Linked DNA regions of Oryctolagus cuniculus. The main gene of each other region encodes a partner of the protein of the gene in region 3 in a complex. Links are inferred from orthologs where the notes say so. Each region holds a gene or a part of one and is shown on either strand. Other genes may lie near its edges.

Region 1 (4,953 bases), on a different chromosome or scaffold from region 3:
GACTGAGTATTTAAAAACGTTTTTTAAACTCTGCCCTCCGAGTTTTACAAGCTCTCAAACAACAGCAAGATGGCCAGTTTAGCCCTGAAGATTGACCCTGTCACTTCCACCAGCAGGATTTGAGCAAGTTCCCCCAGGCCTCTGGGGGAGTGAGGGAAGCGCTCGCTTTGGGTCTAAGGCAGGAAGCTAGGAACCCGGAAGGCAGCATTTTAAGTGTCCCCCTGGTCTCAAGCTCCATGCCCACAAGGCCCCCACTGTCTGCCCCTCCTCCATGCCCCTGGGCACCCCTGCTGAAAAGCCTTCCGGAACCATCTCCAGCTTGGCCCCCGGGGCCTCCACTCCTCTCGTCACTGCGGAGGGGACAGCAGCCGGCACCCACGGGGTGTGCGAGGCGAGTGAGACGGCACACAGGGACAGCTGCGCTGGGGGACCAGCCTCTGGGTTGCATTCCCAGACTCATGAATGAGTCAGCCTTCTCCCAACGGCCAGGCTAGGGGCCATTTCTGAATCCCCTACCTCCCCAGCACATCTGTTCACAGAACCTTCGGGTGACATCAAAAAACACTGCCACTCGCAGGAGACGTAGCCCACCTGGATGGCACAGAGAGGAGGAACAACACCAGCAGGCTTATGGCGAGAGGGTTTTTTTTTTTTTGGGGGGGGGGGGGGGGAGAATGCCCTGGGAACCGATTCTAAGCCAGCGTCTTCCTTCCGCCCCCTGTGCTGTTCAGGGTCCTGTCGCCTCAGCCTTCCCAGAAACAGGGGGCCAGACCGACAGGGCGGAGCGTGGGCAGAAATTTCAGAATTTGGGGAGCTGTCTGTCTAGCGCTGAGGGTATAGGGGGGCTGTGTGTGCACACTGGCGTGCACCCCACAAACACCATCCTCACTCAACACACATGCCTCTTGACGCAGACATGGACCGGTCGTGTCACAGGTCAATGCAGAAGTCCTCAGGTCCTCTGAGTAAGCGGAGGGAAAGGAGAACTGCCTTCCAGCAGCTGGGGCGCGGGCTAAGGCGCGGCCGAGGGCGCTGTGTTCCCGGGAGCCTCCCCCCAGGGTCGGGGATTCAGCTGTGGAAACGCGGAAGGCAGGGGTTCTACGCGGCCCCGGGGACCACAGGAAATGCCGTCTTCCCACCGGGGCTGACTACCGCAAAGCTCCGTTCTCCCAGGAGCAGCGGCTTCCCAGAGCCGGTCCTGGAGGGAGCTCCCGGCGGGCGCCCCCTCTCTACCCAGCGCAACCAGCACAGGGAGGGGGCGGCGGGCCCGACGCGCTCCGATGGACCCCGCGCCCAGCAGCGCCGCGCTCAGTGGCACCGGCTGCTCCCGCATCCCAGTTGCGCCACCAGAGCGGCTCTCTCGCCGGCCGCGCGGGCTGCGCTCGGACTCCCAGGGCCGCGGGGGCCTAGGGCTCGAGAACGGGGAACGTCCCTCCCGGAGTCAACTGGCGACCCGCGAACTTCCCCAGCACCGCAAACTCCGCGAACCCTTGCGCCGCCTCCAACGCTAGGGCGCCCGCAGAGGCAAAGGCAGAGCGGCGTCCGCCGGACACCGCCAGGCCGCGCGGGCCCGCGGGCGGGGGCTGCGGACACAACGCGACTCCCGGGGCACCCCCGGCCCCGCGCCCTCGGTCCCGCGCGCCCCACCTTGGCGTAGCAGAAGCAGATGAGCAGCAGCGGCAGCAGGTAGCCGAAGACGAAGGTGCACACCACGTACGCCTTCTTGTGGCGCGGGTCGGGCCAGTGCTCCCAGCAGAAGGTCAGGTTGGCGGCGCCGCGGTGGAAGAGGCGCTGGTGGTACGCCACGGGCGAGGCCATGGCGATGGACAGCGCCCAGATGAGGCCCACGCCCAGCAGCGCGTTGCGGGACACCCTCAGGGAAGAGGAGCGCCGGGAGTGCACGATGGCCACGTAGCGGTCCACCGACATCGCGGCCAGCGTGAAGATGCTGACCAGCATGGAGACGGTGAAGAAGAAGTGGATGAACTTGCAGATGAAGGCGCCCAGCACCCAGGTGGGCAGCGCGTACACGGTGGCCTGGAAGGGGATGCAGAAGAGCAGGTAGGCCAGGTCGGCGATACTCAGGTTGAGGATGAACAGGTTGGTGGTGCTGCGCGCCTTGCCCGGCGCGCTGCGCGCCAGCACCGTGATCACCAGGCTGTTGCCCAGCACGCCCAGCGCGAAGATGAGGCCGAACACCACCAGCGTGACCAAGTTCTCCACGCCGACGCCCAGCAGCGGCCGGGGCTCGGCGGCGGGCGGCTCGGGCCAGCTCGCGTTACCCTCGCTGAGGTTCCCTGCAGCCAGCTCCATGGCCCGCGGGGGCGCCCGGGACGCGGGGTGGCGGGGCAGGCTGTCTGCCACGGGCAGCCGGCGCCGGGGGTCCCGCCCCGAGTGCCAGCGCGCGAGTTTCCACCGGAGCCTCCGCCGATGCGCAGGAGAGCGGGCGCCGCGGCGGGGCAGCCGCGCCTGGCAGCGCAGTCTTCGTGCCGGGCGTTGGACAGCCGGCGCGGGGGCGCGGAGCTGGCTCTTGTCCGGCGGGGAGCACAGGCGTCTTCCTGGCCCCGCGTCTACGACCGCCGCGCGGCCGCCGACCCCGGGACCCGCCGGCTGCAGCCCTGCAGGTGAAAGTCCTCTCGGCGCCTTAGCGGCTCCAGACCCGTGCTGCCGACCGGCTCCGGCTGCACCTGTTGCCCAGAGCCGCTCCTCCCCAAAGCGCACCCGGGGCAGGGCCGGGAGCGCAGCGCACCAAGGGTGGGGCTCGCGGAGAGGGTTCGCGGCGCTTCCCGTGCGCTCGGCGCCACCTCCCCAGCTGCGTGCGCCTCCGACTCCCTCGCAGGTCTTGCTGGGATTCCAAGTAGCGCACAGGGCGAGAGCGCTTTCTGAGCTCCCTAGTGGTGGGCAGGGCCGGGTGGGAGCGGCGAAGACTTAACCCGGCTTTAATCTGCGCCCCCTGGGGGCCCCCTGCGTACCCCCGGAAGTCGGCGTGCGAGCGGAGACGGCGAATCCTAACAGGAAGGGTCGCCGCCCACCTCCTTGCTACAACCCGCGCGCGCGCGCCTGCACTGGGTGCGGGTCTGCTGGGGTCTGAGGATGGTAGCGGCTGCAGGATGCGGCCCCGGCTCCTGGCGAGGGCCGCGGAGCGCGCTCCAGGGCGCGCTGGACGGGGAGGCGCTGGGGCGCGCAGGCTGCCTCATCGCTCAGTGTCTCCCGGGCAGCGGGCAGCTGGCACTTCCTGCCCGCCGATACAAACCCCAAGCGCCCCCAACCTCCCCCGCCAACAGCAGGGAGAAGAAAGCATTGGGAGGAAGGTTTAGCGTTCCAACTCCAGGCCTTGCGTTCCTCCTCTGGGCGCTGACCGAACCGTGCGCACGTCCTGTCCCTGCCTGCTGCAAGCTGGACACACGGCAGGGATGGAGCCAGGCACAGTTGCGCTGGCGAACGTGGGTTTGTCATCCCGGAGGTTCCCAGCTGAAGAGCGGAAATTGACTTTCTGTGATGTTTGCGTCGTGTGTGTGCATCTTTCAAACACACCACAGTGCATTCTCCTGATGATGACTCCGCCGCCACAGCGGGCACCACGCGCGGCCCGAGAGCAGGGACAGCGCAAAGGGGAGGGGGCGCCGCACTGCGGGAGGCAGATTTAGGGCTTAGATCCGGGGAGCCCTGGGGCCCGCGGGGGTCTGTGCAGTGCCCGAGCTGTCTGCAGCTCTGCCGCGCCGTTCTCCCTGGCACTGGGAAGGCTGCTGCAGCTCCCCCAACGCTGTGGTCCCACGCCGGACCTGCAAAGGGTCTGGCACTGCTGACGCACGTTTTCCAGGGGACAAACTGGATAGGCCTGCTCATTGCAGTGCCCTCACCTGCCCCGCCCCGAAGGACACCTGAAAAAACTCCGGAAGTGGGGCTGCCTGTCAGGGCTGTTTTGGGTCCCTGCCTTGCCTGGTGCCAGGTGTTGGACGGCTCTGCTGCACGGAAAGTCACGTCGTGTGGCACAGGGAAAGATTTATATGAACCGTTTCTGGCATGGAACAGGTATGTTGGAATCATATCAAATACCCGCAGGCCCACCACCTAGCTTAGAGGAGTAAACGATGACCAGTAGAACTGAGGTCACTTTTCTCCACCTCCCGTCCCCTCAGCCATCTCCAGGCGGTCTCAGGGGTCACACACCTGCTGCTGCTTCATGCATTCGTGGCATACACACAGGCTCTTAGACAGACTGGTGGGTCTGAGTGGTTGGCTGCTTGTTCTTTGTCTCAGTGTGCTGTGCTCAGTGACGTGACAAGTTTTGTTCTGGTCTGGCCTGTGAGGCTGTCGTGGCACTGTAGATGCACGGACAGTGCCTGTCACTTCCATGCCCTGTGATGCAGGGCACCGCTTCAAAGGAACACAGGACCAAATTACTTGAGAATCCAGCCAGCAATCTCTAGTTTTCACACGGGTGAATTTCACACACTTCTACTTATTGATATTGCTACTCTGTATGGGTTTCTGGATTGACTTTCAGCATTTTGTTCTGTGCTCTGTTTTCTACGCTGTGTGCTCTCTTGTTCACTCTCTCGCTCTGTCTCCTCCCTTCTCCCACCACAGGAGGAGAAGCAATATAAAGAATGATCTTAGCCTGACTGGAAGTTCTGGGAACATGCTGCCCACGTGGGAGACGCAGAAGGAATTCCAGACCTCCCGGCCTCAGGCTGCCCCCACCCCGACCCTTGTAGCTATTTGGAAGAGTGAATGGAGAGCTCTGTTTCTGTCGTCTCTCTGCCTTCCAAATAAAATGCAAATAAAGAAATAAAAATTAATTATGAGCTCCTTGGAGCCTAATTATGCTTAAATTGTTTCAACCGAGCTCCTGTTCTTGTGACTTGCTTCCGGTTTTGTAAAAATGCTGTCCTTTAGATTTCTACTTGGCCAAAGCACATTAGTGAGAATCAAGAGAAGAGCGCAGTCCTG
Region 2 (3,700 bases), on a different chromosome or scaffold from region 3:
TACTGGGCGGCGGAGATCCCCAGGGCACCGCTGACACAGCGGAAAACAGACCTTCCCAGATTTCTGGACCAGAGGATCAGGGCATGCAAGGGACCAGACGCTTAAGGTCAGATAAGAAGGCCGGGGGGAGGAAGAGGAGAGGGAGACACACAGAGTGGATATTTCTAGGGGAAGAGGGCTGGAGAGATGGATCGAAATCCTTATCCTTAAATGCAAGCACTAGAAGCTCGGCGTCAGGTGGAAGCTGTTAGTGGACCCAGCAGCTGTAGGCAGTTTTTTGTTGTTATTGTTGCTGCTTGTTTAGTTTTCTAATTGGACTTTCTACCTTGAATACCTGGGGCTTAAGCTTCCACCTCGCAGATCCGGGGGACAGAATTTGAAGGCAGCAATTGCTGGAATCAAAAGTGCTGCTGAGGCCGCAGACTGAGACACCGTTGCTTCTCACAGACCTTGGGGCTTCTCTGCACACAGCGCTCTCCCTGGGAGCAGGGGCTTGGGAGGGGGCGACGTCTGGAAGCCTTGGGCGCAGCAGAAAAGTTCCAGGAAAAGTAGCAAGTTATCTTAGGCGATGGTTCCAGGGGCTGGGGGAGCAGGCTACATGGAGTGGGTCCTACAACCCCTACTCGCCGGCTACACCTTCAGCATCATCGGCGGCAGAACTTGCACTTGATAATCTTCTTAAACGCGTTTTGAAAGTCCTTGTTGAAGTAGGCATAAATGACAGGGTTGAGCAGAGAGTTGGAGTAGCCCAGCCAGTTGATGATGGCGCCCAACAGCGTGGGCATGTGGCAGCTGCTCTCGCAGAAGGGCAGGACCAGGGCCACTATGAAGAAGGGCAGCCAGCAGAGGATAAACGTGCCCATGATGATGCCCAGTGTCTTCACCGTCTTCCTCTCACGGGCCAGGGCCATTTTGCGCTTGGCTTCGGCATTGCGCTCATTTTTCCGCTCAAAGGAGGCAGGGGCACCGGCGGCGGCACCCGCCTCGCTAGGAAGCGGCAGGTGCTCCTTGGAGTTGCCCACCCGGTGCACCTCGATCACCTCCAGGGCGGCGCCATCGTCGCCCTGTCTCACCGCGCCGTTGGCGCACGCAAGCCCCACACCCTTGTTCTCCACGCCCTGCCTCCAGTCTCTGCTCCCTGGCTCTCCGTTCACGCTCTTTCTGGGTTGTGGGGCCGGCGAAGCTCCAAAACGGGTGTCTGCGCCTTTCTTCTCCACCTTCTTGACAGTTTTGCGGATGCGGAAGCGCGCGGCGCGAAAGATGCGCCCGTAGAGGACCAGCATGAGCAGCAGCGGGATATAGAAAGCGCCGAAAGTGGAGTAGATGGTGTAGCCGTGGTCCTTGCTGATGGTGCACGCGTCAGGGTCGGAGCGGTCTTCCGGGGTGCGCCAGCCCAGCATGGGCGGGATGGAGATGAGGAAGCCAATGAGCCAAGTGAGCGAGATGAGCGCGGCGGCACGCCGGGGCGTCCTCTTGTTCACGTAGTCGATGGGGTCCGTGATGGCCCAGTACCTGTCCAGTGCGATGGCGCACAGGTGCAGGATGGATGAAGTGCAGCACAGCACGTCGAGGGCGATGAACAGGTCGCAGGTGACCTGGCCCAGAGTCCACTTGTTGAGCACCTGGTACAGCGCGGCCATGGGGAGCACCAGCACGGACACCATGAGGTCGGTGACCGCCAGAGAGCCGATGAGATAGTTGGCCACGTTCTGGAGGGAGCGCTCCAGGGCGATGGCAGCCACCACGCACGCATTGCCCAGCACCGCGCAGAAGATGAGCGTGCCCAGCAGCAGGGAGGTGATTACTTGGTAGCTGAAGGTCACGTCGGAGATGCCAGTGGCGTTGCCGCCTGTCCCGAGGGGACCCTGGGACGACGTCGTGTTGTTGCCCCGGCCGGGACTGAGCACATCCATGCCTGCCTGCGCGCCCGGCGGGGGGAGGGGGAGGGGAGACGGAGCCGCGAGAGGATCCCCCTCGCCCCTCCCCCGGGGGTCTTCCGCCCCTTCTCCCGGGGAGCTTCCGAGGAAGGGGAGGCAGGGACTCCGGCGGGAAGTTCTTACTGCTCTGGCGAAGGCATCTCTCAGTAGCAGCTTGCAGGCGCTCGGTGCGCTCCCGCGGTCCAGGGCGCTCAGAGGCTCCAGCGGGGCAACTGGAGTTGGCCCGAGAGCAGCTGCGGAATCTGCGGGCGGCGCAGAGGTGGCTTGGGCGTCAGTCTCTCGCTGTCCATTTTACTTTGTCGCTGCCCAACTGGCTGCCGGAGCCGGAGTCTCCCCACTAGCAAACAGTCTCCAATCCCAGAAGTATCTGGAATAGAGGAGCCCCATCGTCCCAGGCGCTGGCTCTGTGACCCTCCCTCCTGCGTCCCTCTCTGCCTCCCTCTCACTCTCTCCTCCCTTCTCTTCTGGGTCCCTTCAGCCTCCTCCTCCTCCCTTCTCCCCGCTACCTTCCTTTTCGGCCTCCCTCCTCCCTCTCACCTCCTTTTCTTTATCCCTGTGTGTCGCTCCACAGCCGGTCTCCCTCCCTCCCACGCTAGCCCTCCCCTCCGAAAACCTCCCCAACCTGGGCGCCTTTTCCCTCTGGGTCCCCGCCCTCCTCTCCTTCTATCCCGGCGTCCTTTCACTGACTCCCTTTCTGCCAACAGAGACTCAGAATTCGTTTGCACACACCCTATCCGCCAGACCAGCGTTGTAACAAGTAAACTCCGCCCCCCACCCAGCCAAACTCGAGAGGAGGAAAAACTCTCCCCCCCCCCCTTCTAACTATCCATTGCCTCTTATCTCTGTCAAATCCTTAAAATCAGCACCACAGCGTGGCTGTAGGATATAAGGCAAAGGGATACACGACGCCGGAGAGGAAAGGTGGACAGCCCCAGGTCCCTCTGTAAATGATCCTTACTTGATTAAAAGACGGAGTGTGTCCTAGCTGTTTAAAAGTCACCTCCTTCCATCCTCTAATAGTCCAGCCTGACTCCTTACGGACGAATGGTGCCTATGACTCCCTTCTCTTTTTTAACGTTGGGGAATTAAGGGAGAACGGAATTATAAAAGTCATGTTAAAATACAAGGACAGGCAAACAGCTGTGAGGGGAGGAATCACACCTCGGTATGTATTCTACACACAAGCCCACACAATTTTCTGTCACTATTGTCCTTTTAATTTTAGTGAATGCTGCCACGTCTGATAGTTTTGAAGTGGGAAAATTCAGAGCAGGAAACATTTTGCCTATTTGTTGGAAATGACGTCCTGTATTCCATCGGGACTTTTTCACTTTTAACTGAAGCCCGCAAACCTGTACGGCGAACTTGGAATCCCCGGTGGCTAGCCCCTGAGCTTCTCTCAATAGCTGAAACTGGTTCAGCACCTGGGACAGCTCAACGCAATAAGGGCTTATGTCGCCACCTGCCGGCGAGTGCTTTAGAGAGCCTTGTAGAAACAATTGTAGAAATGAAGCAGATATCGTGGAACTACCATAACTTCAAGAAAGAGGAAGATGATTATTAAAAGAAAAAAGAGCACCGGGTTTTGTTTCATTCTATTGTGTTCTTTATTCCTCTTAACCTTCTATAGCAGGCTCTGAAATGTTCTAGCTGTTTTAAAAAGTCTGTCGCACCTGGCATTCACAAATTCTACCTGGGGGGGGGGGGGGGGGGACTTTACCTCTGTTGGTTTGGTTTTCTCCTGCCGTGGCCTCCACTTTGGA
Region 3 (4,380 bases):
AGACCTGGATTTACTTTCTGGCTCCTGGCTTTGACCTGGCTCATTTCCTGCAAAGCTGAAGAGTGGATGGAAGATTTCTTATTTTTGCTTCCAAAAATTCTTTTTAAAAGGTTATTACCAATAAAACCAACAATAGATAAAAATATCAGCTATAAATGACCATTTCCCTGGCTCCAGACTCTACTGTAAGCATATTACATGTAGTATGTAGCTCATGCTTGAAGGAAAGGCCAAGTTGTGTACACAACAGACTATATGTATGCAGATTCAGAAAGGAGTGCAGGAGCAGTGGGCTCAGGTGACAAAGAGCCTTGAATGGGAGGGAGGCTGAGTTATATTTAATTGTATTGACAGCTTCAGTGAAGGTCAAAGAAAGGAAGGCAACACAACCACAGATCTATATTAAGACAGTCAACCTAGATGAGAGGCAGGAGCAACGGGAGGTGGGGATTCAATGACTCAAGCATTTCAGATGGAAGTTCAGCAAAGACCCCAATTCAGTAGGTAGTAGTGGGGATAGAATGGAAGGTGAAACAAAACCAAAACACAGATGTGAGGTACGGGAAAAGCCTGAGTACCAACAGAGACAGAGAAGAGGAATAGGAAGGGTTCTGTCTGGCTGAAGTATTCTCCACTGAGTACCAAATGGGGATGGTTGGTCCTTAGTAGCTAAAAGCGCAGAGTCAGAGACGAGAACAGGCTTCCGGGGGGATGAGGATGGATTTGGTTTTGGGCATGAGGAGTCGGAACATATGATGAATTTTCTGAAGGGGATATGAAGCAGGCAATTCCAAACAGGGCATCCACCTAATGATAAAACTTGGGGGGAAACTCAAGCTTCTGGAGTAGATGAAGCTGAAAAAAAAAAAAAAACCCAAAAACAAACAAACCACAAACACAGAGAAAGACGAAATGATGATACGATAGACAAATACTTAATTCTAATGCAAAATGCGCTTAGTCAACAGTTTGTAAAATTTTAAAAATTTAAATTTATTAGGATTTATTAGTAACACAATTACACAGAATAAAGTTTAGGAATTCATCAATGATGGTCAACAATATGTGCTTCTTGGTGGCTTTTTAAACCATATTTCTTATTATTCAAATTTATTCAGGTTTTAGTTAAATTTTAGGTACACAGCTTCACAATGCGGACATTACAGGTCTCCCATCAATAAAAGTAATGAAAACATTTTTCATGAAAGGCACATAAAGAATCTAAACTAACACATGTAAGAAATTTCAATAACTCTGAAATTCTTTACATTACAAAGAAGAAAAACAGAATCCCTAAAATGAAAAGAGATACAAACATGGTTTGTGGCTACCCAGACATACACATACACACACACTTCAACAACTATTCTTCAGGAAAATGACAACACAAAACTGAACTTCAACAAAACAACAACACATAATCAAACCGAGAAGCCACTTACCAACGAAGCTTGTTGAAAGACTAGTTTTTCCCAAGATGAATAAAAAAGAGGGAGGTGGGATGAGGAAGGCTTTTCATTTCACTGAAACAAGGTCACAGAGACACACTAACAGGAACCCTAGAAAAGGATCCCATCAAGTTCACGATCTAGCTGATAAGCAACACTTAATTTGAGCATACACATAATCACTGACGTTTAAATACGATTACTCATTTTCTAAGTGCCATTGTCCATTTCTTCTTCAGAAATAAGAGCATAATTTAAAAAGAAATAATATGAACTCAAGCAAATGGAGGAAATTTGAGTATCCAAAAAGCAAAACGTAGCTTTAATGTAGTGTGATAACTGAATTTGAAACCTGTTTCGTAAGTGAATTTGAAGCAGTAGGATAAAGATCTTTCTTGTTAACCTCTAAGGAGGAACTATCATGAATGCTAGGTACAAGGGATTTCCCAAAGGAAATACACAAATGAATGCTTCAAAATTCATTTTGCTGACTTTTTTTTAACCCACAAAAATGCTCTCAACATCTCCACCTAAACTTAGTTATAAATAAAAGTGTAGTTATTTCAAGAGTATAAAAATTAATCAGGCATCACCTTTAAGGCAATGCATTGAACACCATCCAAATATTAAAATTCAAAGTGAAAGCAAACTAATGAATAAAAACTAGGTGTTTAGAATATGCTTAAGATTGTATATCCTCAAAAACTTAAAATTTTAGTTATTTGAACCAGATCTAATGTAGAATCAAAGCAGCATGCACTCTTCAAATTAAGAAAAAAAAAAAAGACAATCCATACAGTGTTTAAATAAGTGATCCAAAAGCAGGTATATTCATCCTCTTTAAGAACATTTCAATAAAACACAGTAAATTTAAAGAACAAATTATGTTATTAAAATAGTCTGTGCAATGTTTGTACAAATAACATTTTTATGAATACAAGTATACATATAATCAGGGTAAGGGCTGCAATGTTTCCTAATATTAATTGCTGCACTTAAAAATCTGTAAGACAGGAACATAAATAAAGCTCTTCAAAACTGGCAAACACAGTAATAGTCTGTCATTCAGTACAAGGTACTTGATATTTATGGTATTTTCAAAGCCATCACACTAGAATTGCAAGTTACCACTCTTAAAACCTAATAGTTATGTGGAAAATTAAAGTTATAAATACATGTGTACATACATTTGCATATTTACACTTAGACATAGAAGTCACCGATATTCTAGAGCCCAGCTTTAACACTGCCCTTCAGCTTCCCACTGCAGGACCATCTTACACACTTAAGAAAGGTCCTTCTGTTACTTTCAGTTAAAAACAAAACGAAACAAAACAAAAACAAAACAAAACAAAAAAAACAGAGTAACTTTGGTGAGGTACCGGATGCATCTGCCATACCCTACATTCTCTGCTGCTGTAAGACTCTAGTCTAGAGATCCGTATAAGCACTCATTTGGTTTGAAAATGCAATTTACCATTCACTGCAAAACTTAGAAGAGACCACAATCTTTTAGATTATTTTTTATGATGACATCTGTTACAGCATCAAAAACAAACTGCACATTCTTAGTATCTGTGGCACATGTGAAGTGGGTGTATATTTCCTTTGTGTCCTTTCTTTTATTGAGGTCTTCAAACTGACACTGAATATATGCGGCTGCCTCTTCGTACGTGTTTGATCCTGAAAAAGGAAACAAATAGAACAAATAGAACACGGGAAGTTAAAATAAAGCAAAATAGACCTTAAAATATTGAAGTCAGCTTTATTCATACAAAATATGTGGACTCATTAACTGCATTTTCCCCTTGTACAACAGGACAAATGAAGTCTCACTGGAAAACAACACCTGCAGATGACTTTTTAATGACTGGAAGTCACCCCTAAAATTAAAAAAAGAAAACAAAAAGCCCCTTCATTTGGCCTTCCATGATTACCATGGTCTTTGCTCCTGCCCTAACCCCCAATTGTTGGATGTCCTTTCTCTCCTGCCCACTCTCTTCATCTGCACACTAAACCACTTGCTTGCTTGATGGTGCATGTTACTTCAGTCTAACCCAGAGGTGGATCAATAATGTTGGCTGAACGCTGATAGGTGTTTTTTCATCTTTCCCACATAGAAGTAATAGCATTGCTCCCTCATTTTTCTTTATTCAAAACCTGAACAAGGGTCTATAATGTGGCTTGGGCTATGAGGTTACAAAAAAGTGAATGATACCTCCCGCCTTGCAACCGGTTACTGACTAGACTTGCTCTGAGTACAAACACTCTGGAGACTGCTGGGAAGTATCTACAGATATTCACACACATGCTCGCATCCAGCAGTTCTGTATCTAGGTGTAGAGTGGACAGACCCATGTTGCTGGGTTCACCCAAGGGCATATAAAGCATGTGAACAGCACAAAGCTCAGCATGTTCAGACAATGGGCTGCGATGCAGGACCGCAAAATGAGGGTGGAAGCACCACTGCTGCACACAAGGACAGGGACCACTCGCACACATAGCTTAACAACAACAACAACAAAATGAGTGTAAAAAGAGTGTCTGCTGGATGATCTGCATGCAGAGGAGGGCAGGTGGGGTTGATTCAAGACTGAGAGTTGGCATGGCAGAGCTTCTGGAGTCCCAGAAACATTGCGTTTCTTGACCTGAGTGGTGGAAATCTATGTGTTCTCTTTCTTTTTCTAATTAGTTAATTAAGTTCATTTTATTTGAAAAGCAGAGAGACAGAGAGATCTTCTGTCTACTGGTTCACTTCCCACATGCCTCCAATAGCCAGGATTCGGCCAGGCTGAAGCCAGGAGCCTGGATGTCCATCTGGGTCTCCCAAGTGGGTAGCAGTGACCCAAATACTTGGATCTTCACCAGAGTACACATTACCAAGAAGCTGGGCTGGTAGTGGTGTACTCAGAGCTCAAACCTGGCACTCTTG

What was found.
Region 1: the proteins of GNAI1 (region 3) and GALR1 are in contact, whole or in part, in a cryo-EM structure (PDB 7WQ3), measured with the Homo sapiens proteins. The link is inferred for Oryctolagus cuniculus from reciprocal best matches to the Homo sapiens genes GNAI1 and GALR1. Residues at the interface, in NP_002060.4 of Homo sapiens: Lys192, Leu194, Lys314, Asp315, Thr316, Lys317, Glu318, Tyr320, Phe336, Thr340, Asp341, Ile343, Ile344, Lys345, Asn347, Leu348, Lys349, Asp350, Cys351, Gly352, Leu353, Phe354; in NP_001471.2 of Homo sapiens: Thr70, Arg133, Ala136, Ile137, Ser140, Arg141, Ser143, Val223, Leu227, Lys230, Leu231, Asn233, Ser235, Lys236, Lys237, Ser238, Ser241, Lys244, Thr245, Thr248, Leu306, Ser307, Glu308, Asn309.
Region 2: the proteins of GNAI1 (region 3) and HTR1A are in contact, whole or in part, in a cryo-EM structure (PDB 8PKM), measured with the Homo sapiens proteins. The link is inferred for Oryctolagus cuniculus from reciprocal best matches to the Homo sapiens genes GNAI1 and HTR1A. Residues at the interface, in NP_002060.4 of Homo sapiens: Arg32, Lys192, Asp193, Leu194, Lys314, Asp315, Glu318, Phe336, Thr340, Asp341, Ile343, Ile344, Lys345, Asn347, Leu348, Asp350, Cys351, Gly352, Leu353, Phe354; in NP_000515.2 of Homo sapiens: Arg134, Ala137, Ile138, Pro141, Ile142, Tyr144, Val145, Asn146, Ile218, Ala222, Arg225, Ile226, Lys228, Thr229, Met335, Arg339, Lys342, Thr343, Thr346, Leu347, Asn404.

What each region holds. Positions count from the first base shown.
Region 1 is NC_091441.1:2,137,105-2,142,057, forward strand, and holds the start of GALR1 (galanin receptor type 1), read right to left. Parts: upstream 2,945-4,953; 5' UTR 2,314-2,944; coding exon 1,648-2,313; intron 1-1,647. UniProt on the Homo sapiens protein: Receptor for the hormone galanin. The activity of this receptor is mediated by G proteins that inhibit adenylate cyclase activity.
Region 2 is NC_091445.1:84,850,854-84,854,553, forward strand, and holds HTR1A (5-hydroxytryptamine receptor 1A), read right to left. Parts: upstream 1,914-3,700; coding exon 645-1,913; downstream 1-644. UniProt on the Homo sapiens protein: G-protein coupled receptor for 5-hydroxytryptamine (serotonin). Also functions as a receptor for various drugs and psychoactive substances.
Region 3 is NC_091434.1:144,919,946-144,924,325, reverse strand, and holds the end of GNAI1 (guanine nucleotide-binding protein G(i) subunit alpha-1), read right to left. Parts: intron 3,132-4,380; coding exon 2,941-3,131; 3' UTR 969-2,940; downstream 1-968. UniProt on the Homo sapiens protein: Guanine nucleotide-binding proteins (G proteins) function as transducers downstream of G protein-coupled receptors (GPCRs) in numerous signaling cascades.